4 linked regions of the Schizosaccharomyces pombe genome follow. Changing the gene in region 1 together with any one later gene gives a genetic interaction. Each region holds a gene or a part of one and is shown in the gene's direction. Other genes may lie near its edges. The genes, in order: pds5, top2, ypa1 and alp31.

What was found.
Region 2: mutations in pds5 (region 1) and top2 are lethal when combined (synthetic lethality), as found in Schizosaccharomyces pombe (one study listed by BioGRID).
Region 3: mutations in pds5 (region 1) and ypa1 together harm fitness more than expected from each alone (negative genetic interaction), as found in Schizosaccharomyces pombe (2 studies listed by BioGRID).
Region 4: mutations in pds5 (region 1) and alp31 together harm fitness more than expected from each alone (negative genetic interaction), as found in Schizosaccharomyces pombe (2 studies listed by BioGRID).

The regions. Positions count from the first base shown.
Region 1 is NC_003424.3:1,907,824-1,917,494, forward strand, and holds pds5 (mitotic and meiotic cohesin loader subunit Pds5), read left to right. Parts: upstream 1-4,024; 5' UTR 4,025-4,218; coding exon 4,219-7,836; 3' UTR 7,837-8,074; downstream 8,075-9,671. Other genes in the region: serine/threonine protein kinase Ppk1, read left to right, coding at 445-3,516; Rho family GTPase Cdc42, read left to right, coding at 8,285-8,332, 8,496-8,564, 8,995-9,456. UniProt on the Schizosaccharomyces pombe protein: Required for the establishment and maintenance of sister chromatid cohesion during S phase. Prevents their formation until eso1 is present. May also have a role during meiosis.
Region 2 is NC_003423.3:1,974,425-1,983,035, reverse strand, and holds top2 (DNA topoisomerase II), read left to right. Parts: upstream 1-1,768; 5' UTR 1,769-2,269; coding exon 2,270-2,353; intron 2,354-2,379; exon of another isoform or gene 2,380-2,409; coding exon 2,410-6,783; 3' UTR 6,784-6,875; downstream 6,876-8,611. Other genes in the region: 3-isopropylmalate dehydrogenase Leu1, read left to right, coding at 7,433-8,548. UniProt on the Schizosaccharomyces pombe protein: Control of topological states of DNA by transient breakage and subsequent rejoining of DNA strands. Topoisomerase II makes double-strand breaks.
Region 3 is NC_003424.3:4,833,122-4,840,044, forward strand, and holds ypa1 (type 2A protein phosphatase regulator), read left to right. Parts: upstream 1-3,073; 5' UTR 3,074-3,273; coding exon 3,274-4,146; exon of another isoform or gene 4,147-4,189; coding exon 4,190-4,294; 3' UTR 4,295-4,469; downstream 4,470-6,923. Other genes in the region: aspartyl metalloaminopeptidase Ape4, read left to right, coding at 1-39, 136-1,307; trm7 (tRNA 2'-O-ribose methyltransferase), read right to left, coding at 1,749-2,582, 2,801-2,824; lip2 (lipoate-protein ligase), read right to left, coding at 4,529-5,188; BUD22 family ribosome small subunit biogenesis protein, read left to right, coding at 5,993-6,923. UniProt on the Schizosaccharomyces pombe protein: PPIases accelerate the folding of proteins. It catalyzes the cis-trans isomerization of proline imidic peptide bonds in oligopeptides.
Region 4 is NC_003424.3:3,373,456-3,380,104, forward strand, and holds alp31 (tubulin-specific chaperone cofactor A Alp31), read left to right. Parts: upstream 1-3,650; 5' UTR 3,651-3,692; coding exon 3,693-3,761; intron 3,762-3,824; coding exon 3,825-3,911; intron 3,912-4,063; coding exon 4,064-4,267; 3' UTR 4,268-4,445; coding exon of another isoform or gene 4,446-4,503; 3' UTR 4,504-4,548; coding exon of another isoform or gene 4,549-4,566; 3' UTR 4,567-4,613; downstream 4,614-6,649. Other genes in the region: SPOM_SPAC8E11.10 (sorbose reductase), read right to left, coding at 1-529; SPOM_SPAC8E11.12 (uncharacterized protein), read left to right, coding at 1,241-1,549; SPOM_SPAC8E11.08C (uncharacterized protein), read left to right, coding at 2,061-2,363; SPOM_SPAC8E11.06 (uncharacterized protein), read right to left, coding at 4,446-4,503, 4,549-4,566, 4,614-4,639; SPOM_SPAC8E11.05C (uncharacterized protein), read left to right, coding at 4,817-5,833. UniProt on the Schizosaccharomyces pombe protein: Required for the maintenance of microtubule structures and cell polarity. Beta-tubulin-folding protein; may have a regulatory role in the tubulin-folding pathway.

The DNA.
Region 1 (9,671 bases):
CGCTTTGTAAATCTGTTTTCATTGCTTACGCTACATTTACTATTGTTTTTTAATTGCTTTGTTCCTTTTTTTTTCTTTGCACCTTAACTTTTATTTTTGGCTTTCTACCACTTTAAATGTGTAAATAGGTTTTTCCTCTTCCTTTTCTTTTTTATAATCACCTATCTCTTCCTTCTCACTATTTTTTTTGTATCGTGTTGTGAACTGGAATACGTGTATCTTCCCATCTTTCTTTCTCTTAAAAAAAATTGGTCATATATCACATTTTTGTTCCTTGACCATTTTCCTCTCTTGCTTAATCCGAAAACGACTATTTAAAAATAAGCAATATATTTAAATATCTGGTTATTATTAGGTTTCGTTTTATACTTCAAAATATTTATTTAGTTTGATTCTTGATCCCACTGCCTTCTGAATCTTTATTTATTGCTTTTCTTCAAAGCTATGAACGCTCAACCCTTTCATAACAACACTTCAGATGTGCAATCCTTTCAGGACATTATAAGCAATTCCTATCAAAAACCTTTGAGCTTAGTTGACAGTACTGATCGTGCACTACCGGATTCTTCTCTTTCAAGCTTATCACGATCTACCTTTCAATTTCACAAGCATCACCTTTCTGGCAATGAGAATCCTCAGCCCTCTTCCGAAAGCCCCTACTTCACTAACAATGAACGTTTGAATTCCTCTAGTTTCCCTCAAATCCATGATAATCAATTATCTCCATCTTTTAACACTTCTTATCAAGCCATTCCTTCCTCCTCCTCTAATCGATCCCGTGGTGGTCCTTACACCCCAAGCATTCGAGATGACTCTCTTCTAGCTTTACTCAGTTTCTCCTCGAATCATCGTCTGCATTCTATGCCCTCTCAACTTCAGCCTTTTAATAATGCATCATCATACACTACTCCAATGGCCCCTTTTACGGCATCCTTTTCTAACAAGGTTTCTCATTCTGCTTACCCCACAAGGAGGCTACCTAGTCAGGCAAAAAAAACATCGGCAATAGAGAGAGTTCCGGTCAATCTCAATTTCCTACAGTCGGACAACTTGGTTGTGCAGTCATCGCCGCAAACGAATTTTGAAAACTTTGAGTTTCCGAAAAAGATTCCATCAAAAGAAGATTTGGAAACTCGTGAAGTGTTATTACTCCCTCCGCAAACGTCTAAACTCTCAAACAAAAATTTGGACACCAAAAGTTTTACCGATGTTAACAAAATTTCCCAACAAGGATTTGTGGAAATCAGTTCAAATTCTTCAAAAGTTACCCCCAATACAAGCTTGCATCAATCCTTTGGCATAGCAAGCTCCTCTTCCAATAATTATATGCAGACATCGTCTGAACTTACCTCTTCTACCGAGAAGATGAATGGATCGCATCCTTTGCAATTGTCGAATAAGTCATTATTGTCGATCCATCTTATGCAGTCTAAAAACCAAGGTCATGTTTCGATGACAGGTTCAGATAAACTCTCTTCTCATGTACAGTCCGAAACCGAGAATGCTCCTGTAAGTAAACCAAGTAAACCAAATACTTTGACTGAAGATGAAAAACCTTTACAGTCTACGAAGCTCCCTGGAAATTCTCTTACTGTTGGTGAATTATACCAAGAACCCAAAAGTATCCAGCTGCCCGAATTGTCTGTTTCACGGACTACTTATTCGGCTCAATCCTCTTCTGTCAAAAATTGCAACGAACGCATTCCCTCTGCTAAAGCTCTAAAAAAGCAAAAGCATTTAGTTCCGGAAAACAAATCAAAATTGCAATATGTATGGCAGAAAAAAGAAAGCCTCCCTTATGCTAACCTTACTTCCGCAAGTAATACGCACTTTTTTCTGTCGGAAAACCAGAACGACACTTCTGAACGGTTGACCCGTACTTTGAGAAAAAGCACAAAAAACTATACGTTTGGCTCTTATATATTGGGAAGGACAATCGGTACCGGCGAGTTTGGAAAGGTTAAACTTGGCTGGCCTTTACCAAAAGCCAATTCTACTATTCACCGCTCAACACCGCAAGTTGTAATTAAAATAGTTTTGTCTACGAAGCAAAACTGTCAAACAAGCCGATTGATGCGAGAGGTGGCCATTTTAAAAGGTTTGGGTAATAATCACCCCCATATTGTAAAATATTTGGATTTTGTAAAAACTAAACATCATTTTGGTATAGTACTAGACTATGTTAATGGTGGTGAACTTTTTGATTATATACTGGCGCGCCGAAGACTTGAAGATTCGGTTGCTTGCCGACTGTTCGCACAATTAATAAGTGGTGTTGCCTATTTACATTCTCGAGGAGTGGTACATAGAGATCTGAAGTTGGAGAATATATTGCTAGATACTAATCGAAATATCGTAATTGCGGATTTCGGCTTTGCGACTACTTTTGGGCACTTTAATACTCTCAGTGAACACTCATTGCCCACGGAAAAGCCAGATTTATTTAGTACATCATGTGGATCGCCTTGTTATGCGGCCCCTGAATTAGTGAATTGCAAGTCTGGAATGTATGCTGGCACACAAGCAGATATTTGGAGTTGCGGTGTCATTTTATATGCAATGTTGGCTGGGTATCTACCATTTGACGATGATCCACACAATCCAAATGGAGAAAATGTCCCTCGACTCTATCGGTATATTTGCAGTACTCCTTTAATATTTCCGGAGTTCTTTAAAAGCAAAGCTCGCGACATTCTTAAAAAAATTTTAGTTCCTGATCCAGCAAAACGTGTCCGAATGTCAGCAATTATGAATCACGCATATCTCCGGTCTCATGTGTCTCTATTTGAAACGTATAACGATGATGAAGCGACCTCACTGCGTCCGTCTCCCATCCGTTTGCTTTCTCAAAAATCTTTAGCTAGTGTTTCTTCAGTTTCGTCAATCAGCACTTACTCTTCTTCCATTGAATTGACTCCTCAGATCACAAAAACTTCATTAAATCGAGAAAAACCGGCATTACATGGCAGCATCAATCTTAAACACTCAACGAGGCCGGTTGTACCAATTGCAGATGGTATCTATGCTTCTACTACTCTTCATCCAATCGATAATGCTAAAAACCGCTTGGTTTCTTTACTGCGCCGTCCCAAGCATAAGGTTAAGCATGCCAAAGTTGAAACACGTGAATCTCCTATGAAAAATAAGCCAACTAAGAAACAACACAAGCGTGCATTTAGCATGTTTGAGAGGCCCACTTCTCAGAAAGCCCCATTGTCACCAGTAGAAAGCAAGATTAACCTTATGGTTGCTCCTAAACGTGTATTAAATTGTGCTTCAGATTCTTTAAGAGCTTTATTAGCAGGAAAGACGGATAAATCTTTTTGGGGTTCACGTATACCATTCTTGTTTAATAAATTGAAATCCAAACAGAAGGCTGTATCCAGCTCCTTCAATACGGAAAACTCATTTTTAATTCTTCAAGCAGTTTCGCCTTTAACTTTTGGAGGTTGTTTCAAAGAAGAAAACGCGTATGGGCAGAAGAAGCAGCACATGAGACACGCTACCGTTTTTTAATGTTTGCGTTACGATATTGTATATCTCAACAATGCATGATAATTATCAAACTGCCTGTTTCCTATATTAGTTTTTTAAAAAGATGGCTCTTCGACTTTTTCTTAAGAAAAGCGGTTTATATGGTTATCAATTATTAAAGCTTGAATTGATTGTTTGACAATGTTGAACAATGGGTTTCCTAAAAAAAGACGCTTTAGCTGATTTTTATCGTTTATCAGCGTGTATATTACTTGCCTTGTACTTTACAGTTTCCGCTTTTCATCTTTATTCTAACTTTTTATTTTAATTTTTAATTTTTTGGTACAAGCACCTTTCGTTCTTTAAACTACTTTTAAACTATTAAATTTCTTTCACTCATATGTCCTTATATCTAATTCACTCGTTAATAATATTTTATCATTACCCTTGAGTTATACTTATTAGTAAATAGTGTAATATTTTAATTACAATAAATGGAACGCGTTCTTTTACGCGTCTCTTCTTTAAGCAAGTACATTGCGAGTCTAACACGAACGTAATAAAGAGTTGAGCACCACATTTTGAAATCGCATCTTTCAAGCTTCAATATTGCGAAGTACTAATTAATAAAATCAGCCTATGGCTCTTATGGATATAGAGCATTGAAAGTTTACTGCATTTGTCATTTATTTGTTAAATACCCAAGGTGAATAGTACAAAAGCGTGCAAAAGCCAACTTTTGCGATGATAAAGTTACAGTTTCAAAGAAACATTGTCCCAACACATGACAATCCGTTAACGACTTCCGAGATTTTAAAACGACTACGTGATTTACTAGGAGAGCTTACTAGCCTATCCCAAGATACTATCGACCGTGACTCAGTATTGCCAGTAGCACGATCATTAGTAAATAACAATTTGCTCCATCACAAAGATAAAGGGATACGCTCTTATACACTTTGTTGTATTGTTGAATTGCTTCGTTTATGTGCCCCCGATGCGCCCTTCACTTTATCACAATTGGAAGATATTTTCCAAGTAATTCTCAAAATTCTTAGTGGTCTTATGAATCAAGAATCTACTTATTATCCACAAATTTACGAGATATTAGAGAGTTTGTCGAACGTTAAATCTGCAGTTCTAATAGTTGATCTCCCGAATGCTGAAGAATTCTTAGTAAATATCTTTCGTCTCTTCTTTGATTTAGCGAGAAAGGGTACTACCAAGAATGTCGAGTTTTACATGCTTGATATTATTAACCAGTTGATCAATGAGATTAACACCATTCCTGCTGCTGCCTTGAACATACTATTTGCTCAACTAATATCAGGAAAGGGCGTAAGGCAAACAATTGGCTCTTCCGATTCTACTAATCACGGTCCAGCTTTTCAACTAGCGAGAAATATTTTTCATGACTCAGCAGATCGACTACAAAGATATGTTTGCCAGTATTTCTCAGATATTATATTCGATTCAAGAGATTCGCTTTCTGACTCCATGACTACTCCAGAATTTATATTCTCGCACAATTTAGTTTTACAATTATGGAAATATGCACCAACCACGTTATTGAACATTATTCCACAATTCGAAAATGAATTGCAAGCTGAACAAACTAGTGTGCGACTTGTGGCGATAGAAACTGTTGGTTTGATGCTCCAAGACAACGCCATATGGTCCGATTATCCTAGGGTATGGAGTGCATTTTGTGGTCGGCTCAATGATAAATCAGTTGCATGTCGTATCAAATGCATTGAAGTTGCTTCCAACGCTCTTCAGAATTCATTGGCTACTTCTGAGATAATTGAAAACGTAGTTCAAATGCTTCAATCAAAGTTGGCCGACACGGATGAAAAGGTGCGGGTTGCTACTCTTAAAACGATCGAACAGTTGACTTTCGAAACCTTTAAAATGCAATTTTCAGTACAGGCTTTGAAACTCATGGGTGACCGTTTACGTGATCGTAAACTCAATGTTCGTTTACAAGCAATTCGGACACTAAGTCAAATTTATAATAGAGCATATCAAGACCTTATAGATGGTGTGGAATACTCAATACAGATGTTCAGCTGGATCCCTTCATCTCTTTTGGAAGTATTTTATGTTAATGATGAAACAACTAATGCGGCTGTTGAAATTTGTATGGCTGAACTGGTCCTACAATACCTTAGTTCTGATACGCAAACAAGGTTAAACAGGCTTTTCCTTTCAATAAAGTATTTTAGTGAAAAAGCGATGCGAGTTTTTATTCTACTTTTACAAAGACAAGTTAAGTATTCGGAACTCTTAAATTACTACATTGAGTGCTGCAAAAATTACAATGGAGGTGTTATGGATAATGATGAAGAGTCAATTACCAACAAGCTTAAGAAGGTGATTGATATCATATCATCAAAAAGTTCTAATCCTACATTAACAGAAGCCACTTTCAGAAAATTTGCGGAACTTAATGATCGTCAAAGCTACAAAATGCTTTTACAAACGTTTTCCATTAAAAGTGAATATCAAGTTGTTTTAAAAAGCATAAAATATTTATTTAAAAGGGTTTCTGAAACGTTGAGTACCGCAAGTCTTGAATGTTTTAGAATATTCGTTTACCGTTCAGCTCTGTTTGCTTTTAATAAAAGCAACGTGCATGAAATAATTCAATTATTAAATGAACCTGTAAAATACCACAATTTCCTTAAGCCGTCGGAGGCTCTTTTACAGCATTTACCGCTAATTCATCCCAACATATATGGAGAGGTTGTTATAGAAGTTGAAAATATTATAGTTTCTTCGGGCATTGAATCGGATCCTAAAGTAATTAAAGCTCTTTCCCAATTCTCCAAAAGAAAAAAAAATTTTTCTATACAAACAACAACTGCTGAAATACTACGAAAGTTGTGTCTACATGGAACACAGGAACAAGCCAAACAGGCAGCGACGATTATCGCTATAACGGAGACGAAAGAATTCAAACTCGATATGATAACGAATATCGTGGAAAATTTGGAGTATAATGGAGGACTTCCTGTACGGCTTATGACTTTAGGACAACTATTTCTATACACTTTAGAAGAGGTAGAGAAGGTTGCTGACCAAGTTACAGAATTTTTAGTAAAAAAAGTTATACAGCGCTTTCCTGAAAAATATGATGATACGCATAATGATGAGGAATGGTGTACTTACGAAAAATTAGATAATCTTACCATGTGCAAAGTTTTAGCAATTAGGGTTTTGGTTAATCGACTGAGGGCGGCGGCAGGAGGAACCGAAGCGTTAAATATTGGAGCTCCTATCATTAAGCTATTGAAAGTATTGTTAATGGCTGACGGTGAATTAAGTCCGTTCAAGAATACTCCCAAAATTTCTCGTGCTTATTTACGTCTCACTGCTAGCAAATATTTTTTAAAGTTATGTTCCATTCCTTTTTATGCGGAACATATAGATTTTAGTTCTTACGTTCAAATCTCCTTATTATGCCAAGATGAAAATTTTGACGTGAGAAATTTATTTTTGACGAAGCTTCAGAAGCAGCTGCAACTTAAAAAGTTGCCAATTAGTTATTATCCTTTATTGTTCCTGACTGCTGTTGATCCGGAAGAGGAGATCAAGACTAAAGCGTCTATATGGATACGTTCTCAGGTTGCTTTTTTCCAGAAAACCCATGATTTTACCATGGAATATGTAGCAACATATCTTATCCATCTTCTCTCTCACCATCCAGACATATCTTCGATAGAATCAGAGAACTCGCTTGATTTTATTGCATACATTCGCTTTTACGTTGACACTGTTGTTAATAGTGAGAACGTCCCAATCGTTTTTCATCTAATGCAACGCATAAAACAAAGCTATGATGTTATTGAAGATGGAAACAATTACATTTATGTGCTAAGCGACATGGCTCAGAAAATATTGCAGGTGAAATCCCAGAACTTTGGATGGAGTTTGACTACGTATCCAAAGCAAATTAAATTACCTTACGAAATTTTAAGACCAATTCCCTCTATAGATGAGAAAAAGAGAATTTTCAATAAAATCTTCATAACGCCTAAAATGGAAAGTCAGATTGAACATGCTATAAGGACACCAGTCTCATCTTTTGCGAAACAGACTACCAATAAGCACGCAAATTTGAAGCAAAAGAAGACTCATAGCTCAAAGAGCGATAAAAAATCGTCTAGAAGAAGGAAAAACGAAAAAAGGAGAAAGCTAAATGAGCAGAATCCTAATATTAGGAACGTGCCAGAACGAAGTAGCTCAAGATTTCAAGGGATTCGTATAAATTATTCGGAAGCACCGTCTTCAAGTGAGGAGATAAGCGAAGAAGAGGAGGAAATTAGCGAAGAAGATTTTGATGAAATAGAGGATTTATAAAAAAGGCTTATTTGGATGCGAAATACCGATACTAGAACACTTACCCAATATTACCAATGAATTTTCAATGTTAATTAGATAAATTGCTATCTTTTTTGTTAAACAATCTATGCTTGCTAATTGCCTAAACTTTTGAAAGATGACTCCATCACATACATGCCTCCATAACTTCTGCATCTATTAATTTTTTTCATTCCTAGTAATATAATAATAAAAGTTGCATTTTTGAGTTTTTTTACGCTTTACAATTCGTAAAATCTAATAGTGAGATTGGATTAGCCGCTGTAGTATATCTTAATAAAGCATGGCTGGGCGAACTAATTACGGTGACCGCACAATATATTTACCTACAACCAACACCGGTGTTTGATACTTAGGGGTTTGAACTTTCTAGGAATTCAATAAAGTGAAGCAAAGCTTTACGATTAATTATTTTTTGTGAAATAGTATGCCCACCATTAAGTGTGTCGTAGTAGGAGACGGTGCTGTAGGAAAGGTGAGTTGATGTTTACGGAAGGTGAAGTTAAGCAATGCATAAAAAAATACAAGAATTGCTATCATCTAAAATGAAGTTTCTTTTGTCTATACATTCCCCTTTATTTCTTTCTTTCCAAAAATTGTTCTTTTGAGTTTTACACATACTGACCGTTTGAATGTAGACCTGTCTGCTTATTTCCTATACTACAAACAAGTTTCCTAGTGACTATGTGCCAACTGTATTCGATAATGTAAGTATAATTAGTTGTTTATGGAATGAAGTACTTGGTGAAGTTTTGTCCCCATATTAGAAATTTTTTACTATTCAAATGTTCGGTCACGGAAAATTTTGATATAAGGCTTTTTGTCAAAAAAAGGCTGAAGGATTAAACAATGACTCAATGTATTTATCGATTTTATCTCAGAAACTATTGAAAGTTTAATAATTTTTTTTTATCCGATGCTTTTTTTTTTCCACACTAGATCTAAAGACCGTAGGAAGCCTTATCTCGTAAGGAATAAGATGAGGCGACCACTTTCTTTCCCAGGAAGATTTGGTCGTTATTATTTCTGCTATTTGCTATATTGGGGACTATTCTAACTTTCTTGTTGCTTTTACTCCCGTTTTTAATTGATATAGCTGATTTTCATTTTATAGTAAAGATTTACTGACTAAAATAGTATGCTGTCACTGTCATGATCGGTGATGAACCATACACTCTTGGTTTATTCGATACCGCTGGTCAGGAGGATTATGATCGCTTGCGTCCTTTATCCTATCCTCAAACAGACGTCTTTTTGGTTTGTTTTAGTGTAACTTCTCCTGCCAGTTTTGAAAATGTGAAAGAAAAGTGGTTTCCCGAAGTTCATCATCATTGTCCGGGCGTCCCGTGCTTAATTGTTGGTACCCAAATTGATTTACGTGATGACCCTTCTGTGCAACAGAAACTAGCTCGCCAGCATCAGCATCCCCTTACACATGAGCAAGGTGAACGATTAGCTCGTGAGTTGGGTGCTGTCAAGTATGTTGAGTGTTCCGCTTTGACCCAAAAAGGGTTAAAGAATGTTTTTGATGAAGCTATTGTAGCCGCTCTTGATCCTCCTGTTCCTCACAAGAAAAAGTCAAAGTGTTTGGTACTGTAATTTAACCCCTGGTTTTCTTTCCTTTTCCGAAATTTCCTTAATACAGCTAGTTTACAACAGTAAACAATGTCTTAGCTTTCTTTAACGATCCCTCATATTTGCAAAGATATTTGCTATTTGTTGTTTTCATCCTAGCTTTTGTGCTTCTTCATTCATTCTGTCAATCACACACTTCTTGGGCTTTACATATCTGTGTTTTCTGGCTAGGCATATTT
Region 2 (8,611 bases), on another chromosome or scaffold:
TAGCTGAGCAAATTCAAATAAACTAAGATTAGGTTGGGTTTCTTTTCAACAATCCCGCTCTAGGATTGTATTTAAATGAAATTATTTTTAATGCTAGATAAAACAATAGAAGTAATATTGGTAAAGTTTTTCTTGATTTTGAGGAACCTTGATGCTTCTCACTCGGACGTATTGGTGATGCTATTTTGACGCTGATTTTAGTTACAGATCAACCGAAACTTTTTTTCTTCTTAGATATTGACTTCTTTGCCACAAAATACTTCTTTTAAAAACGTCTTTCCACTTTCGACTTTGACAAATAATTTTTTTCTCAAGCGAACTTTTTTTAATATACTATTCGATAGGCGAGCAAATATCCAACGTGGATCCGGGGATAAGCAAAGGCCAAATAGAGGTGCAAGATAGCTAGAAATATGATTTTTTTTCAATAAAATGAATTTTAAAATGAAGAGGACGTTGGTGGAGGATAAGTTCAGGAGGTCTGATGTGTTCCTTGGTAAGCGAGAAATAGCCTTATAATGTGGGACACTGAAGAATCAACCTTTTGATCTGCTCTGATCGAGCGGAATATGTTCGCGATGTCCGATTCCGTTTTTTTGGACTATTATACACAGGAAATTAGGGAAGTGATGGTTATGTTAGATGGCTCAAATTTAGGTCAATTAACATTTTGTGCGAATATCCAATGAAAGAAGCCGCCGATCTATTGATCCACTCTTTTCTTCCATTAAATAATTTATCGCTTACTGACTTATGAGCAGCTGTCTGAGATACTTCAAAAAGCATTTTTCTTGCTCAGATCCTACACATTTCGTTTTGGCTATCCAATGCTTGCTTATACCTTGAAAGAGTGACTCCGAATATGCGTTTGTCTTGCGCTTCCATTTTGTAACTCTCCTTATTAAACAATCGACTTCACACTATTTTTCGTCCATTAATGGGAATTGGTTGGCAACATCGATAAATAATGGAAATACTTAAACCCATGCATCAGCTATCTGCTGGGCCTACCATTTTTTGTTACATTTGCAGCTTCTTTTAAGATTTTCAGAAAAAAGTTTATTGCATTTATTAGATGAGTCTGTTGTTTGAGAGTTCTTTCTATGTTTTTGTTCCTGTTTCATACCTGCAATTGTTAAATAGAGGGAGAAGCTATATTCACAAAATTACTATTAAATTGTTTGAACTTAATGATAGTTACATACAACAATGTTTCAAGAACAGCTTAATCGAAATAATATGGATTAATGCTGATGGTACAATCAAGAAGAATTTAAAAAAGCAGTTTCTGTTTCCATCATTGCTTTCCGTTCATCTCTTTTTATCGTGTTTAGCGTTTTTCTTTCAAATGACCAACTGTAATAGGTCACTCAATTCTTTTACAATCTTTGCGAGCATACTCATGAATTATGGATTTATCTAAACATTCATTTTCCATTTTCAAAATCCTTTGTTTATTCCATACTATATAAAATAGCACCAAGAATTTCAATTTTAATTTCAAAGCACAAACATTCTTTATTATACAATTAATTAATTATTACATTTGCTTTACAAATTAGTTACAGCATATGTTCCAAATACGGTTTTTTTACAGACTTCAATTATGTTTTAAGCGCATCCCTATATTAATAACGCACGGAAATTTAGAAATCCTTTCTTTTGCTATTTATTCTTAAAAATAATTTTCTTTTTCTTTTTCCGTAGTAATCAATTCCTCGGTTGCAACTTCTATCTACTTATGTTCTGTTCTCTCTTCCTATCCTTCACCAGCTACCAACTTCAATCATTGTTGGGATAGTTGAACACATAGCCCTTTAGAGCTTTTAAACAAACTATTTAAATTAGTACTATCATACATACAATCTCTGAAGTTTCCATCATACTATTAGTTTTTCGTCACGCGTTTGCTTTGACCGACTTTCTACATACGTGAATCAGTCTGTGGTGATATAAACGCTTGAATATCTATTTAATACTTTTTTAAACCAAAAAATTAATCCAAATTAACAAAAAACATTATATTTGGTATTCATTCGTTCTACCTTCTTTTTTATCCATTACTTTTTTTTCAGGTCACTTCTCCATTCGTTTTTTAATATCGTATACTAAGGGCAAATATCATTTTCTCTTCTTACATATCTTAATTTTGTTATTTGACGTTGCTTAAAGCGTGTCATTATTATATCCATTGATTTTTTAATAATAACGTTTACACGTTGGAATAACCTTTGATTTACTACATATTTCCAACTTAATTTTACAAACTATGTCCATTGATGCGGATTTCTCCGACTATGAAGATGAAGCGTCTGGAGACGAAAACGTTTTACCTAACACAACCACCAAAAGGGTATGCAAGTGTTTGTGGAATTTATTATTATTTTAAAATACTAACAACTTTTTTAGAAAGCATCTACAACATCCTCAAAGTCTCGCGCCAAGAAGGCAAGCACTCCTGACTTAAGGCAAACTAGCTTGACATCCATGACAGCTTCTGAACAGATACCACTAGTTACCAACAACGGAAATGGAAATTCTAATGTATCTACACAGTACCAGCGTCTTACACCGAGAGAGCATGTGCTAAGACGTCCGGATACATACATTGGCAGTATTGAGCCAACGACTTCTGAAATGTGGGTCTTTGACTCTGAGAAGAACAAGCTGGATTACAAAGCAGTGACCTATGTTCCAGGCCTTTACAAGATATTTGACGAAATAATTGTCAATGCTGCTGACAACAAAGTTCGCGACCCAAACATGAATACCCTAAAGGTGACTTTGGATCCTGAAGCAAATGTCATATCAATTTATAACAATGGCAAGGGCATTCCTATAGAGATTCATGATAAAGAGAAAATTTACATCCCCGAGCTTATTTTTGGTAACTTGCTTACTTCAAGCAATTACGACGATAATCAAAAGAAGGTAACAGGAGGAAGAAATGGTTACGGCGCAAAACTTTGCAATATTTTTTCTACTGAATTTGTCGTTGAGACAGCTGATAAGGAAAGGATGAAGAAATATAAACAAACTTGGTATGACAATATGTCCAGAAAGTCTGAGCCAGTGATCACTTCTCTCAAGAAACCCGATGAATACACAAAAATTACATTCAAACCCGATTTAGCAAAATTTGGTATGGACAAGATTGATGATGATATGGTATCTATTATAAAACGCCGTATTTATGATATGGCAGGTACCGTTCGTGAAACTAAAGTTTACCTGAACAATGAACGCATCAGTATAAGTGGATTTAAGAAATATGTGGAGATGTATCTTGCTTCTGACACTAAACCTGATGAAGAGCCTCCTAGGGTAATTTATGAACATGTTAATGACCGTTGGGACGTGGCCTTTGCTGTTTCAGATGGACAGTTTAAGCAGGTTTCGTTTGTTAACAATATTTCTACCATTCGTGGAGGTACACATGTTAATTATGTTGCCAATAAAATTGTCGATGCTATAGATGAAGTCGTCAAGAAGGAGAATAAAAAGGCACCCGTTAAAGCGTTTCAAATAAAAAATTACGTACAGGTATTTGTCAATTGTCAAATAGAGAACCCATCCTTTGATTCCCAAACAAAGGAGACTCTCACCACGAAAGTTTCTGCTTTTGGCTCTCAATGCACATTAAGTGATAAATTTTTAAAAGCTATCAAAAAATCTTCTGTAGTGGAGGAGGTTTTAAAATTTGCTACCGCTAAGGCAGATCAGCAACTCAGTAAGGGCGATGGGGGTTTGCGTTCTCGTATAACGGGTTTAACCAAACTCGAAGACGCAAATAAAGCGGGTACCAAAGAATCCCATAAGTGTGTCCTTATCCTCACTGAGGGAGATTCTGCTAAATCTTTAGCTGTTTCGGGTCTCAGTGTTGTTGGTAGAGACTATTATGGAGTTTTTCCGTTAAGAGGAAAACTACTGAATGTACGGGAGGCTTCTCATTCCCAAATCCTAAATAACAAAGAAATTCAAGCTATCAAGAAAATCATGGGATTCACTCATAAAAAAACTTATACCGATGTGAAAGGTCTTCGTTATGGTCATTTAATGATTATGACAGATCAAGATCATGATGGATCACATATTAAAGGTTTAATTATTAATTATTTAGAATCCTCGTATCCTTCTCTTTTGCAAATTCCTGGATTCTTGATCCAATTTATCACACCTATCATTAAGTGCACTCGTGGCAATCAGGTTCAAGCATTTTACACTTTACCCGAGTACGAATACTGGAAGGAAGCTAATAACAATGGACGTGGTTGGAAAATTAAATACTACAAGGGTTTGGGAACAAGTGACCATGACGATATGAAAAGTTATTTTTCAGACCTTGATCGTCACATGAAGTACTTTCATGCCATGCAGGAGAAGGATGCTGAATTAATTGAAATGGCATTTGCCAAGAAAAAGGCCGATGTGCGTAAGGAATGGCTTAGAACGTATCGACCTGGTATATATATGGATTATACTCAACCTCAGATTCCGATTGATGACTTCATTAATCGAGAGCTTATCCAATTCAGTATGGCTGATAATATCCGTTCGATTCCTTCAGTAGTAGATGGCTTGAAGCCTGGTCAGCGTAAAGTTGTCTATTATTGTTTTAAACGCAATCTCGTCCATGAAACTAAAGTCAGTAGACTTGCCGGCTATGTTGCTAGTGAAACTGCATACCACCATGGCGAGGTTTCGATGGAGCAAACTATAGTTAATCTTGCCCAAAATTTTGTTGGCAGTAACAACATTAATTTGCTGATGCCTAATGGACAATTCGGTACACGATCTGAGGGTGGAAAAAATGCATCGGCTTCAAGGTATCTAAATACAGCTTTATCACCCTTAGCACGTGTTTTATTTAATTCCAATGATGACCAGCTTCTTAATTACCAAAACGACGAAGGCCAGTGGATTGAACCAGAGTATTATGTGCCAATTCTTCCCATGGTACTTGTCAATGGAGCCGAAGGTATTGGTACTGGCTGGTCTACTTTTATTCCTAATTATAACCCTAAGGATATAACTGCTAATTTAAGACATATGCTTAATGGCGAGCCTTTGGAAATTATGACTCCCTGGTACCGCGGCTTTCGTGGAAGTATAACGAAAGTTGCGCCTGACAGGTACAAAATATCTGGTATAATTAACCAAATTGGTGAAAACAAAGTAGAAATTACTGAATTGCCTATACGATTTTGGACTCAGGATATGAAGGAGTATCTGGAGGCTGGTCTTGTTGGTACGGAAAAAATTCGTAAATTCATCGTGGACTATGAAAGCCATCACGGTGAAGGAAATGTTCACTTTAATGTCACGCTTACCGAAGCTGGCATGAAAGAAGCATTAAATGAATCCTTGGAAGTTAAGTTTAAACTGTCGCGTACTCAAGCAACGAGTAATATGATTGCTTTTGATGCATCTGGACGGATCAAGAAGTATGACAGTGTTGAAGATATTTTGACCGAGTTTTACGAAGTACGTTTAAGGACATACCAGAGACGTAAAGAGCATATGGTTAATGAATTGGAAAAAAGGTTTGATAGATTTTCAAATCAAGCGCGGTTTATTCATATGATTATAGAGGGGGAGCTTGTAGTTTCAAAAAAGAAGAAAAAGGATCTCATTGTGGAGCTGAAGGAAAAGAAGTTTCAACCTATCAGTAAACCAAAGAAAGGGCATTTGGTTGATTTAGAAGTTGAAAATGCTCTTGCTGAAGAAGAACAATCTGGTGATGTTTCGCAAGACGAGGATTCAGATGCCTACAATTACCTTCTTTCAATGCCTTTATGGTCTTTGACCTATGAACGGTATGTGGAACTTCTCAAGAAAAAGGACGAAGTAATGGCCGAACTGGATGCTTTGATTAAAAAAACTCCTAAAGAATTGTGGCTTCATGATTTGGATGCATTTGAGCATGCTTGGAATAAGGTTATGGATGATATTCAGAGAGAAATGTTAGAAGAAGAGCAATCCTCTAGAGATTTTGTAAATCGAACGAAAAAGAAGCCTCGAGGTAAATCCACTGGTACTAGGAAACCCAGGGCTATTGCCGGATCCTCCTCAAGTACTGCTGTTAAAAAAGAAGCTAGCAGCGAATCCAAACCATCTACAACAAATCGAAAGCAACAAACTTTACTTGAGTTCGCAGCGTCGAAAGAACCTGAGAAATCATCTGACATAAACATTGTCAAGACAGAGGATAACTCTCATGGCTTATCAGTTGAAGAAAATCGCATATCTAAGAGCCCGGGATTGGATAGCAGTGATAGTGGAAAATCAAGAAAAAGAAGTCAATCTGTTGACTCTGAAGACGCAGGTAGTAAAAAACCCGTCAAAAAAATAGCAGCCTCGGCGTCTGGAAGAGGAAGAAAGACTAATAAACCAGTTGCTACTACCATATTTTCTTCAGACGATGAAGATGATTTGTTGCCTAGCAGTTTGAAACCTTCCACCATAACATCCACGAAGGCTTCTGCGAAGAATAAAGGGAAAAAAGCAAGCTCGGTAAAGAAACAATCACCTGAAGATGACGATGATGATTTTATTATTCCAGGTAGTAGTTCAACTCCAAAAGCTAGTTCGACTAACGCAGAGCCACCAGAAGATTCAGATTCTCCGATTAGAAAGAGGCCAACCAGAAGAGCAGCGGCTACAGTGAAAACACCTATTTACGTTGATCCCTCGTTTGATAGCATGGATGAACCCAGCATGCAAGATGATTCTTTTATCGTCGATAACGATGAGGATGTAGACGATTATGATGAGAGTGATTAGCTTCTAAAATTTGGTGTTTTCAAACGCTATTTACAGTACAATCTGAAAAAATTGGATGAACATTGTAAATGGTAGGATACGAGTTCCAATTAATGTATTTTTTAAGTATTACACTTAGCTTATTAATTTTATATATACATTCTACCTCTGTGGGTTTAAAGACAACTCGTACACATACTCAAATTATTTATGAACATTATAATGCATATTCGTACTGTCTATTAAACATTTTTTTGACATTAAAAATTTCGTTTACTAACGTAGAAAGCGCTGATAATTGAGGCTACTATTTTAATATCTAGAAACAAAGATTCATTAATTAATTAAGTAAGCTCCAGGATACTTGTATATTTCGTTAAAAAAGCGCAATTTCAACAATTCCTATGAACATCCATGATTTCATCACAAAATCAAACATATCAGGATTTAACGTGAATTATTTGCTTTCTTGTGATTTTCATCTGATTTCTGGTCATTTACGTTACTGTAAACAAGCTTTTTAAAAAAAGGATTTTTTACGCAATATTATCGATATCCCAATCTGTAGTATAAAAAGTGCAACAGTGTTGAGTTTCCCGAAACCAGGCATTTTTGCGGTAGGGTCTGAAACTTTCACGAAACCATTTCACAACAAAACTTCTTCAACAACATGTGTGCAAAGAAAATCGTCGTCTTACCAGGAGACCATATTGGCCCTGAAATTGTTGCTTCTGCCTTGGAGGTTTTGAAAGTCGTTGAGAAGAAGCGACCTGAGTTAAAACTCGAGTTTGAAGAACACAAGATTGGAGGTGCCTCTATTGATGCCTATGGAACCCCTTTGACTGACGAGACTGTGAAGGCTTGTTTGGAAGCTGACGGTGTTCTTTTGGGTGCCGTTGGTGGTCCTGAATGGACCAACCCCAATTGTCGTCCTGAGCAAGGTTTATTGAAGCTTCGTAAGAGTATGGGTGTTTGGGCCAACCTTCGACCTTGCAACTTTGCCAGCAAGTCTTTAGTCAAGTACAGCCCTTTGAAGCCTGAAATCGTTGAAGGTGTCGATTTTTGTGTTGTACGAGAACTTACTGGAGGTTGTTACTTTGGTGAGCGCACTGAGGACAACGGATCGGGTTATGCTATGGACACTTGGCCTTACAGTTTGGAAGAAGTTTCTCGTATTGCTCGTTTGGCTGCTTGGTTAGCTGAAACTTCCAACCCTCCTGCTCCCGTCACATTACTCGACAAAGCTAATGTTTTGGCAACTTCTCGTCTTTGGCGCAAGACTGTAGCTAAGATTTTTAAGGAGGAATATCCTCACCTTACCTTAAAAAACCAGCTCATTGACTCCGCAGCCATGCTTTTGGTCAAGAGCCCTCGTACACTTAACGGTGTTGTTTTGACTGACAACTTGTTTGGTGACATTATTTCAGATGAGGCTTCTGTCATTCCTGGTAGCTTGGGCCTTTTGCCTTCTGCCTCCCTTTCCGGTGTGGTAGGAAAATCAGAAGAAAAGGTTCATTGTTTGGTTGAGCCCATTCACGGTAGCGCTCCCGATATCGCTGGCAAGGGCATTGTTAATCCTGTTGGTACAATTTTATCTGCTTCCCTTCTCCTTCGTTATGGTTTGAATGCTCCTAAGGAGGCTGAAGCTATCGAAGCCGCCGTACGCAAGGTCTTGGATGATACTTCAATTGGTGGACGTGGTCTTTATACTCGCGATTTGGGAGGTGAGGCTTCTACCGCTGATATTACTAAGGCTGTTGTTGAAGAACTTGAAAAAATTTTGTAATAGGGTTTAATGTAGAATAAATTCATATGATTTGATTTGACCTAATTTTTATTGATTAATTGT
Region 3 (6,923 bases), 2.9 Mb from region 1:
GTATAATTGCTTTCAGTATTGGTAAAAAATGGAAACCAGGTAAGTCAAGTTCTCAATGAGTTGCCTCTATATGCTTCGCCTTAAACTTCAGTAGAGTTTGATTGTATTATTATTATTGTTTAACATTTATGATAGGAAATGGTTTCTCTATTATTGCAACGCACACTGATTCTCCTACACTTCGGTTAAAACCAAAATCTCAGAAGTCCGCTTACGGCTATCTACAAGTAGGAGTTGAAAAATACGGCGGTGGTATATGGCACACTTGGTTTGATAGAGATCTTTCTTTAGCTGGGAGAGTGATGGTTGAAGAGGAGGATGGACGAGTTATACAGTATAATGTGCATATCGATCGGCCACTATTACGCATTCCTACTCTCGCAATTCACTTAGATCCGTCTGCCAATTCTTCTTTTTCATTCAATATGGAAACAGAATTTGTTCCGCTTATTGGATTGGAAAATGAACTTGCGAAGGAAGAAACCTCTGATAATGGTGACAAATATCACCATCCTGTTTTGCTTTCTTTACTTGCGAATGAAATATCTAAATCATTAGAGACAACTATAGATCCTTCCAAAATTGTGGATTTTGAGTTGATTCTAGGTGATGCTGAAAAGGCTCGCCTTGGCGGAATTCACGAAGAGTTTGTATTCTCACCTCGTCTCGATAACCTTGGAATGACATTTTGCGCATCTCAAGCTTTAACTAAATCATTGGAAAATAACTCCCTTGATAATGAAAGTTGCGTTAGAGTTGTTCCCTCCTTTGACCACGAGGAAATCGGTTCCGTGTCAGCTCAAGGTGCTGAAAGCACGTTTTTACCAGCTGTTCTCCAAAGAATATGCGAGCTGGGGAAAGAAAGTTCTTTGTTTTCAATTTCCATGGTAAAAAGTTTTCTAGTTTCTGCTGACATGGCTCATGCCATGCATCCCAATTACTCATCTCGCTATGAAAATTCGAATACCCCATTTTTGAACAAAGGAACTGTAATTAAAGTTAATGCGAATCAGCGTTATACGACTAATTCCGCAGGCATAGTCCTTTTAAAGAAAGTAGCTCAACTCGCCGATGTGCCAATTCAGTCATTCGTGGTGCGAAATGATTCTCCTTGTGGAAGCACTATTGGTCCCAAACTTGCTGCCATGACAGGAATGCGTACACTCGATTTAGGAAATCCTATGCTTTCTATGCACTCTTGCCGTGAAATGTGTGGCTCCAAGGACTTTGAGTATGCAGTCGTCTTATTCTCTTCATTTTTTCAAAACTTTGCAAATTTGGAAGAAAAAATCATTATTGATGAATAGTTTACCAAGTTTGTTTATGTCTTACACCTCATGATACTATGGGTTCATAAGAACGCCATGAAATTTACCGAACTCGTATCTGTTGGCCGTGCTATGAGTAGTACTAGTTGCCTCTCTTATAGTTATGAAAATGATATCCACATGACAATTATAATCATAACCCCATGATTTGCTATAGCAAGGTATAAAGTTAAACATGACTAGCAAGTCTTTCAACGAAAGCATGTGTGTATCAAAAGTAATTGATTTAGATAAAAATTCATAAGAGGAAATTCTGATTATAAGTATACCGAACACATCCTGCTTTCTTTAATTTTTTTATGAAAAAAGAATGATAGGTTCAAAAATAGATTATACCTATATAATATACAATAGTAAAACCCACTGCTAAATTAAACGAAAGAAAAGATTAAATAAAAAAGAGACAATTGGAATAATAGGTTACGACATCATCTTGCTATGCTTCAATTCGATAGCTCGTTTATAAGGAGGAGCGGTTGGAGGTTGTATAACGTCTAAGGTAGCCTTTTTCATATTTATTTCAACGGGATAAGTAGCGTCCGCATCATAACCATCAAGGTCACCACATGCAATAAATGGTGCAATCTCATGAGCATTGGTTGGATCGATTACACATAAAGGTTTTGTTAAATCGGGTTGAAAATTAGAAGGGGGGTTAAAATCTTCACAAACGACAAAGGACTCGATAGAGCTAGCACGAGAGCTTCTTGGTTTAGCACAAGAAACTTTTCGAAACATCAAACGAAGCTGAGAGTATAACAGTGAAACATCTCGTCCACGAAAAATTTTTGCAACAAATTTCCCACCAGGCTTTAAAACACAAACCGCTAAATTAAATGCAGCTAACAATATCTGTGCTTGAATATATTCATCTAGGTCGTGCAAACCAGTAACATCTGGGGCACCATCACTAACTACGAGATCAGCCGGTTCATTACCAAAGTGAGACAAAATAATTGAAAGGGTGTTGGGATGAGTAATGTCTAATTGCAGGGTGCATACCCCATCGATTGGTGCCATGGGTTGAAGATCAACAGCAACAATCATAGGTTTCTCATCTGCGGCAATGGAAGTATCAATGTTTTTGAGTAACTCACGAGACAAAACTTGAGACCAAGACCCCGGTGCAGCACATAAGTCTACAACTCTTTTTGCTCCTTCAAATAAATTGAACTGTTCGTTTAATTGGAGCAATTTGAAAGCTGAGCGGGCTCTCCACCCTTGTTCCTTCGCCAGACGATAATAGGCATCTCTCTAAAAAAGTGTAAAGTTAGTATTTTAACAAAATAAATAGTTAAATAATTATTTAGCAATAAAAAAAAAATGAAATAATAAACTAAAATGTTTCTATATGCGACTGAGAAACATTAAAGTTTACACATTAATATACGATATAACTTCGATAAAATTAACGTAAACTTTTCGCTACAAAGTTAAGTATTTACAAGGTTTCAGTAACGCACGAGACATACCTTATCTTTGCTGCTTCTCCCCATTTGTTTTTCAGTTTGGTAAAAACTGGTTGAAATTATTATATTCGTTTCTTGCATCGATTGTATTGAATAAACATATCGTTAAATATTGATTAGGAGATAATTATTTCGGTAGCGTATTGTTATGAAGTGGTTCGAATTAACATATGGATACATCACTATAAAGATTTTAGGATATAATCACATCCATAGTACTAATTATCGTTAAACTAATCTTAATCAAGTTATTGAATAAGCTAAATGCTTCTTCTCGAATACTGCTATTATACTCTATCTTGATGAAAGCAATATCAAGCTGTTTTTAAATGCTGTTATAGTTGCTGTTATATTCTTTAACTTGGTCCTGGTTTTTTTTAATAAAGAGTCGTTCATCAAAGCCTGTAACTTAGTGAGTGTCGTAAATCTATTGGCGTATACGCGAACTTGATTGATTCATTGTTTATTGCTTTACAATGCAAGTCGTAGATGAGAAAACAATACTAGAGCTTGAAAATGAAAGGTTTGATGAAAGTTCACAGTTTAAAACTCCCGAAAAACTAATCGTGGAGGCGAGCGATATGACGGCGTTTCGACAATCGAAAGCATATTATCGAATTTTTGATTTTTTACAGCGTCTCAATATTGCATCTGTGGGTGTGAACGATTATCATGTGGAATACTCAACAAGAGTTGAAAAGTTAGTACGAATATTGTGTAGAGTTAAAGAAATTACTAAAACTGTACCACCTGCATCAGGTCGGCATCGGTTTGGTAATCCTGCTTTTCGAATATGGCACGAAAAGCTACGTGACTCCGCCTCTCAAATTATGGACATCATTATTCCTGATTCATTGAGTAAGGCAAAAGTGGAGTTACTGGACTATTTTTTGGGATCGTTTGGTAATTCTCAAAGAATTGACTTTGGTACGGGTCATGAGTTAAATTTTTTGGGTTTTATTAAGGGCTTGGACTTGCTGGGACTTTTAGATGCCGCAGATTATAAAGCTATCGCCTTGTACATAACCCATGTTTACTTGGAAGTTTGTCGTGAGCTCGTTCAAACTTATCGCTTAGAGCCTGCTGGCTCACATGGAGTTTGGGGGCTTGATGATCATTTTTTTATTCCTTATATTTTTGGTTCTGCCCAACTTGCTGATAAGGCATCATCTTCCATCATAAAGCCTGATGCTATACTTAACAAAAAAATAGTGGATGAAAAAGCTAATAGCAACTTGTATTTTAGTGCTATCAAGTTTATAAACGTGATGAAAAAGGGCCCATTTTACGAACATTCCCCAATATTGTATGATATAACCGCTGTTCCTATATGGTCAAAGGTCAATCAGGTATGTTAAGAAGTGTGTATTTATTAAGCTAATTACTTTCAAGGGATTGATAAAAATGTACGATGTGGAAGTGCTGAGCAAATATCCTGTTGTTCAACACTTTCATTTTGGAAATCTCTTTCCGTTTAACCCTTTAGTTGCAAAGTAGTTTAACTTTAATCTTTCGTGCAATTTCAAAAACAAATAGTCACTGTTATTAATGTTATGTTTTATTTATTGTATCTTTTATGGTTGCTGATAAGCTATTTTATAGGGGCCAAAAGGAAGGAAAGCCCGCAAATTTACTGAAAAAATTTTTAATAAACCAAATTATCGCAAGAATAGCATTACTGTTATTGCATTATATTTTTTATAAGTAATACTGTTTCTAATACATTTAAATTTATTTACTCATTAAAAAGCTATCAAGGTTATTTACCAGTACCTTCTCTACAGACTTTAAGTCAGTAAAAACTCCTTGGTCTTTAAAACTGGTAGTGTTTTTTCCATATAATCCGCAACCCACAATGTAATTGAAATACTTAAGATCCGTACTAACATTGAGCGCAAGACCATGACTAGTAATATTTCGGCGTAAATGAATACCAATTGCTGCAATTTTATCGTTTTCTGTTACCCACACACCGGTGTTTTTTGTTGTATGAGCTTTTTCGATGCCAAAGCTTTTACATGTTGCTATAATCGCTTGCTCTAGCCTTGACACATATTCACGTGGACTTAATCCAAAGGACTTCAAATCAATAATAGGATATGCAAGTATTTGACCAGGACCATGAAATGTAGTTTGCCCACCACGCAATGCTTTAACAACTTTAGCCTTAGGGAAGCCTTTGGTAAAATTAATTGAAGATTCCCTTCTTCCCAGTGTATACACTGGACAAACTTGAGAAGTGATAATCGTTGGCTTCGGTGGCTGTTCAACCTTATTTGCTTTATAATTTAAATAATGTTGAACAAATCGATTTTGTAACGCTCCAACCCTCTCATAGCTCACGAGAGGATTTTTTTTGGTGATAAAAGAAATATGCTGGATTTTATTCATTCAATACACTTAACTCTGATTTATGCTGATAATAAAAAGAATATTATAAAAGAGTGTAAAAATGTAAAAAGAGGAAAAGAATCTATGAATTCGGCTTAACCGGAGCGAGCATCTAAAGCCGTAGAGCAGGTGCAATTATTTAACGACAGTTGCTAGGAGGATGGCTTGAATGTATACTCTTGCAGGTTTTCTCCAATTGATCAATCTAAAAGAATCAAAAAAAATAGAACATATTAAAATTCAGTTTTTACATTTCTGAGTTATTAGCTGAATACATAAGAATATATCTAAACTGTTTCAATCACCCGTGTTTAAACGATTATAACTTGTAAAATTTAAAGGCAAAGCAATTTTTTTATTCTTTTGAACTTAAATAACATTAAGGTTACTAAAACAAAGAAGAACACAACAGCGGCTACTGTTCAAACTAAGTCCAGATTTTAGTTTAAACATTTTAATAAGCGCCCATGTTGTTTAAAACTGCATGCTAGTCATTTTGGCTTGCTTCATAATCCAGCAGGACAGAGAATGGTACTCCTTCGCTGATTCTAATAATAGTCTATATGAATTGATTAAAATTAAGTTTTATAATTATTCACCTTAATTGTAAAGAGCACTGATGATGCTATATTATCTGTGGGGCGTATACGGTGAAATTACTCTTCACCACATCGGTAAAAAATTGTATATTTTGCTGGTTATGCTATAATTGGGCATAATAACACAAAACTTACTATTATAGAAATTTCATTTGGTTTTTTTGGATTTTAGTGGGTTATACTCAGGGTTTGCATAATTTTTTAAATGGTTTTTACGTCTCACAAAGGCGTCAAAAGAAAAAGTCATCACTCTCAATTAAGTGTCGATGATGTTCCAAAAAAGATACCTCTATTTAAGAAAAAAATATCACAGGCATTGAAAAAGGCATCTACCTTTGAACGGCAAAAGCTTGTACGAAGAATTAAAAATTGTAGAGCCAGTGAAGATGCTGATACTCTTGGCCGTTTTGAGGCAGAATTTGAATTTGCCAAACAATTTGACTTCACCAAATTTGTTGATTATTGCTATTATAAAAAAATCCTTAAAAACAAGGATTTTCGGAAGTTACTGAACGAAAATCTTCATGTTGATTTTCCTGCAGATTTGACTGAGGATGCTCAGAGAAATACCGTTGCTAGAATTTTAAATTCCAAGCAATTATCTGATGCCATTCGAAACATCAACTCAATACTCGAAAAGTATCTTCGTTTCTTAAACCCCGATTTACAAGAGTTGTCAGATAAAAAGGCTGTGTCTTCTACCCAAAAACCCATTAAGACCATCGGAAAAGTAGATTTGTCAAACAAATCAACTTCTAATCAAGACCAAGTGGATAATACCCATGTTCAAAATAGCACCGATGGCGTTAATCAAGATACTGGTATGATTTTGGATAATACTGAGGACAAAGAAATCAACAAGTCTATGTCATATTCTATGAAAAATGAAGGTGTAAAAGAATCATCTCTTCAAAATGCTACTTTAATAAACAGGAAGTCTATAATTGATGATGAGATGTTGGAAATTCCTCTGGGCAAACATAACAATACTAATCTGCCTGCCCTTACAGCGGGCTTCTTAGATCCAGTCGAAAGTGATGATGAATTTGTCGAAAAGGAGTTAGAAGAAGTAGATATCCCGAAGCGTAAAAATCGTCGTGGTCAAAGAGCTAGACAAGCTATTTGGGAAAAAAAGT
Region 4 (6,649 bases), 1.5 Mb from region 1:
GAGCGCGAGCCAGATGTTTGACAGCAGCCTTGGTAGCATGATAAGAAGCCCATTGTTGAGGCCAATTGGCAATGTGACCACTCATACTAGCCGTGAAGATCAAACTGCCCTTTCCTTGCTTCTTAAAATGATGGCCAGCAGCCTGTGCAGTATAATAAGCACCGTTCAGGTTTATGCCCACGACCTTGGTCCAGATGTCTTCATTCTTATCTTCCAAGGATAAGTGGGGAATCGCAATACCAGCATTAGCAATCATTACATCCAAACGACCACCCAATTCCTCAACTGCCTGGTTGGTGGTTTCAATTACAGCACTACGGTTCTCAATGGGGCAAGAATAAGCCTTGGCTTGAACACCATGTTTGTCGCGTAATTCAGCAGCATACTCAAGAGCCTTTTTGTTACGACCGTACAAAAGACCAACATTAGATCCAGCGGCAGCGAATGCTTTAGCAATCGAAAATCCGATACCGCCTGAACCACCGGTGATGAGAGTGGTTTTACCTTTAAGAGAAAACATAGAAGTCATTATGAGATATATGAAAAAAACCGAACGATGTAATAATTATTAAGAAAAAAAAAACCCCACAAAAATATTTTAGCGAACAAAAAGTGGTAGTAAAATTTATGAACACCGGTTTAATAGCTTTTGATTAGATGAAAAGCAAAAATTTTTTTCCGAAAGATTTTTAATAGTAAGAGAAGGCACTCTTGGCAACCAGAAAGAAAAATTGCTTTGTGGCAATGGACCCAAGGCTTTTATACAAAAAATTTCCTCTTTTTGACACACAGAAAGAGCAGTCCTAAATAGTGTTGTTGGAAAAAATATATGTGTAAATAAACGATTTGCAAAGGAGGAAAAAAATAGCGCAAATAGACAAAACGGTCGTTTTACTCGAGTGACACTAGTAGATCCATCAAACCGATAATATCGGGTATTGTGATGGCTGAGTGGAAAGTTTGAATGAATAACTGCGAGAAACTAGGCTACACACATAGGAGTCAAAATAGTGTAACCCGCAAAATATAGAAATCCAATTCATAAATGTGAGAATGACAATTCATTTATTATAAATTGGAAACTCATTTCATCTTTTCTTTTTTTTTCGTGAAATACTACGAGTTTCTCTTAAATCCGGGGAGAAAGTACGGATAAAATCCCATGATTAAGAAGGGGAGCGTCGGACGACAAAGGTAGCTTAAATTAACAAATGGCCAAGTGATTTTGGCCATTTGGGGTATGATTTCGCTTCTCTCGATCAAGATGCAAGCGATTAAAGAACTGGACTCGGAAGAGGAACCAAAAGTTGGCGAGTTCTATAAGGGCAACACAATTTCGTTTTGCAAAAATTCGCTTGAAAATGATACTCAATTACCTCAAATTCTCTTCTGCATTAATCCTAAATCCATCCGAAATTTTCTTTTTCCACCCATAGCAATATCAGATCCGAAAGAAGCTCAAAATCACTGTTCGTCTTACTATTATATTAAGTACCGGTATTATATTGTACAGTCAAGATGCGGGATGATGGGAAGAATGTCTTTTTAAATATTATCTAAAAAAGGTAATAGTTACATGTTAATAACTATATATATATATTTCCAGACTATACTAGTAAAGTAACGGTTGAAAAAATGTGTAAGTAGAAGAACTATTAAACTTAATTGCGTTCAGTAGTTTCTGCATGGTTTTTAACTAAAACCATGTTCGATATTGTTAACTATTAAATATACTTATTCAAAAAAAAAGAACACCAGATTCTCCTGTCACGCATCTAGGTTTCCAGTTTTTCATCTGTTCCCTCATTAACGTTCTACCAGTTGCCCGCATTGTTCCAGAAGATCAACCCAAATCTGAACGAGATGCAATAGCCTGGAGACTACCAGAGTCTTCATTTTACCCGACCGAGATCGTTTCCATGGTCGGAATCGAACACTGGAATACTTGAGACTTGGCGAAAAATGAGTATTATACAAGGGAAGAAAAGAAGAAGAAAATAAAAGGATAATTTATGTTTTACGGCAATAAAATAATGAATTAATAAGCAAGAAGTATTAAAATGGACTTTACCACTAATGAGGTTCTGTTTAGTAGGTTAGTAGTCTGTAAAAATTTGACAAGAAAAAATTTTCCGTTTCTTCAATTGAAGGGGAGCTCCATTTTAAGATTTGAATGGTCTGAAGAAATGTATAGATTGTATATATGGTTGTTACCGTACCGAAAAGACTATAATGAAAAGTTTAAGGGAATTCTAATAAATCCTTCTATTTTTCTTCTTGGCTGTCATCATGTTCAAATATGCAGTTTTCCGAACAACCTTGTATTTTTCATGGGAAAATGCGATTTGTTTCGTTTTTGTTAGCTTTGTTTGAATACCATTTTTTAACTTATGCGATACTTTCTAAACGGAGTTCACTTTTTAAATTAATCTATATCAACTGAGCCGTTCAATTCAATCCCTTTTTTTATATCAGCTTGTAAACAAACGTTTCAGGAAATGAGAAAGTTCAAAAAGCGTTAAACAGTGAATGCTTGTATGTTGAGCTTTGACTTGTTTGCAAATGTTTAATTGTCGAAATTCATCATCTGTATCTGTCCAAAGTTGTGAACTGACAAGATAGAGATTAATTTGTTAGATCACGCAAAGTACGATATGTTTAAAATGCTTATACCAGGTTGCAGTCTTTGTTTTTCATAGCTTTGCAAAAAAAAAAGTGGATTAAAATACTAATGACTACTAGGGTTCGAAAGGTTGCTGTTCGATTATGAAAAAGCGTTCACTCTTTTATCTCCCAAGCGATGATTTGAATTTTTGATGCATCTGTGGCGTAGAATATGATCAATCATTTTAGAAAACAGAATAATATTCAAGGATCCATTTAAAGTCCTATATAGAGTAAAGGATTTTAGCTATTATCCTCACATTGAAGACTGGTCCCATTATACCGAAGTCTGTTGACATTAATATCGTTGTACCGGCTTTTTGAGTAGACTAAATATCTTGTACAGGATCTACTTTGAAAGAGGGTATTAGGTCCTTTTTTTATTTTTTGTTTTCCAAGGATTAAGATAGAAGCTGAATTTTTTTGGCTAGGCAAAGTTGACTAATTATTAACAGACTGTGGTTCGAGTGATTAGCAATCAACCTATCCTTATATGAAATCGTGCTTTTAACAATTTCGGTTGTTGGGAGATAACTGTGTGTACGGAGAATCAGAAATTTTTGTTTTGGAAAATATTTGTAAAAGCAATTACGTCTAAATATAATGAATTACGCGCTAGAAAATTTTCATATAGCTGAATCCCGAAAAGCTCAACCTCCCATATGATTGAGCATCCATAAAAGCATGAAATTTTTGGTACAAGTATCGGTGAATCGTAAATTTAGAAATAACTGAGCAATTTTATCTCATACATAATATAGGAATGAAACGTTTGTCGATCAATAACTAGTCTGATACTTGATGCAAACATTTAATCAAATACCCTTTTTTAGGAATTTAAGGAAAGGGCTTTAAAAGAAATTGAAAACTTAACTAGAACTAGCTTTTCTTAATCGTTTCTCGTAACTTATCACCACACGCTAACATTAGCATTCCTTTGTATTCCAACGTTACCTACACTGCAGTCAAGGAAAATCATCCAACCTAACATTATTCCTTTGCATATCGCGTCCATTTTATTTTCTACCATGTCAAATACTGTTAGGAGCTTAGTCATCAAAACTAATGTCGTTAAAAGAATTATTAAAGATGTAGAAGTAAGTTTCCTTTTTGGATCGCGATTTTGTAGATGGAATTTTCTGACCTCAACAATTGTTTAGTTGGCTCATATCGATATTAACGAGGCCGAGAAACGTGTACAAAGTAAAATTGATAATGGGGAAGATTCTGCAGAAATTGAGCATCAGGTATGTTGCATTAGTTGAAACCATATAAACGTTGGACGTGTTGTGCTAGAAGATGTTTCTACCAAGCTGAAGATACTTTTCGGTGGTTTCCGCTTTAGCGTATCTTTTTTAAAATAAAAAATAATCAAAGTACTGACATTCTGGACCTCTAGAAATTTGTTTTGAAGAAGCATCTTGAGGCGTTGCCAGATGCTCTTGTACGTCTTCGTAATGCGACGAACGACTTGGAATCCATTTCTTCTGACAGTGCATACGAAGGAACTCCTGAACTTGAACAAGCAAATGAATATTTAGAAAAAGCAAAAGAAGTAATTGAAAAAGAGCAAACGAATTTCCCCACGAATGGGTACCACTGAATACACATTTACTAGCTTTTGTAGATCCCTGCTAAAATTTATTACTGACCCTTCAAAAGACGATCATGAAAAGGTTCTACGTTCATCATTCTTTACCCACCCTTTCAATGCTATCCTACTCAACTGTACTGTGTCTTCGATTTTTATTCCAATCCATTAAAATAATAGACAATCCCAACTACTTAAGGATTATCCAAGTCATGCTTAAATCTTTTTTAAGATTTCGCCAATCTATTCTAATTTTGCCAGTTAGGTGAAACTGTTCACATAAAAAAACATACGTATTCCCCTTTATTCTACTAGAGATTTAAATTTTAGCTGGACAATCAAACAATTTTAAAACAACCAAATGTTCCTGCTAACAAGCAGCATAGACAGTCGTCCTCTAGTATTTATTTGCACTTTTATTGTGAGTGTAATGTAGCGTATCACTATGTTAGATTGTACAGCTCATTGTTTGACGTTACTTACCATCTGAGCAAAGAGAAAGAAACACTTCGCGTGAACATTAAACAGATTGGGAGCATAAAACGTTCCATTTGTATACCTATGGCAAGTCCGCCAATATTATCAAGGGAATCACCTGTGTTGGGTTTAGAAGAAGAGAAGAAATCTGACGGCGGCAACTCTGAAGTAAATATTGACCCTTCTGCATCTTCATCGTTGAAGGAAGATGTAGATGGCGAAGAGGGAGCTGATACAAAAATAGATCCACACCTTCTTGAAGAAGATGATTTAAATCCTGTAGAGGATTACGATTCTAAAAACCAAAAAGTCGTTGAAGCATCTAAACTTGACCTTGACGCTACATCAACTGTTTGGGCGGAGAGTCTTAGTATTAATAGAGAAGCTAGTATTTCCCAATCAGGCATTGTAGACAATGAAATGGAGAAAAAAGTTGAAGAGGAAGAAGAGTTTGACGAATTTGACGATTTTGGTGAATTTGAACATGATATCCCCATCTGTACATTTATGGGTGATTGGCAAGATGATTTCCAAGATGCTGTCAATTCTGTATTTGGACTACCTGAAACTCCGAAAACAATTGAAGAATCCTCCTTGGATCCGGATCGTATATTGTCTCTTTGGCAAAAACTGATTGAAATGCCCGTGCTGCAACGGCCAGATTGGCTGAGGTCTAGCATCAGGCATATTTTTTTAGTTACTATGGGTCTTCCTGTTGATTTGGATGAACTTTTGCCTACTCCTTCTACCCAGGGATCATTCAATTCTTCACGCACAATAGAATTGTCTTCCGTGACGTTGCCAAAATCTGAGGATGAACCATATTTAGATTATTCAGCTGCTCGTCGTTTATGCAGCATAAACAAAGACGCATTAACCCACCGATCTCATGAGTCTTTACAACAGCATATAGAGTTACTAGAATCAACTCTGCAGCAAGCTGTTGAAGTTGCTCGATATTGGACCGATAAAAGGGATTCAGCTCTTAGCGATAAGTTGTTATATGAGACGGTTGTCGATGATTTAGTTCAACATAGCAAACGTTTAAGAAACTCTGGTCGTAAATTCCTTTCTAGAAGGAGCACTTCCTCTCATAAATGATCCCTTTATATCTTTAATTACCGACCTCTTTTCCTGAATTGCTGTTTTCTTGTTTAATTTTACGGGAGTAAAATAAAACGGAAGCGTTTTATTTTTGTTGCTGACGAACCTTTGTTACGTCTAACGTGATTAGATTTGACTTGTGATTCAGCTGTATTGTCTTCTTCGATTCTTTTGCCTCTTCTCTTCTTTTTAATGACTAATATTTTAATGACTCTTCTCTATGTGTTTATCAATATTATGTCAACCACTTGTAAATATAAATGGAACAGTATCCTAACCTAAGCGCCATTCTTGGTTATTTACATAATAGTCCATAATTATCTCTAAAGAAAAGGAGCAAATTTTGATTCACTGTTGGTACTTAAGTTATTCATCGTTAAAAAAACATTAAGAACATTTGTCGACACATTTCTGGCAAATTGATAACAACTTGAATGAACTGTTAAAATTATAAGCAGGAAGTTGAAATTTTATTTTTATTTATACTTATTCGTTAGACTTGCATTTGGAATGCTTTGGATTTACTAGTACCCTTATTCTCTTACAACCTGGACGTTCCTAGTAATATCAAACAATTAATTGACTTATGGAATTAGATGGCTTATCGACTAAAAAAAGCTAAGGCATTTCTTGACTAAAAACGCAAGGAAAGGACTATAAAAATTTGATTGTTACTACAGGTAAATCGAGAACCATCGTATATAGGAGCTGCAAAATTTTGTATATTATTGGTATGTTTGTCAGACGCTAAATGATTCTTACTTGATGGATAGTTTAACCTTTTTTTTTTGAGATTTACATGCAATTCATCTA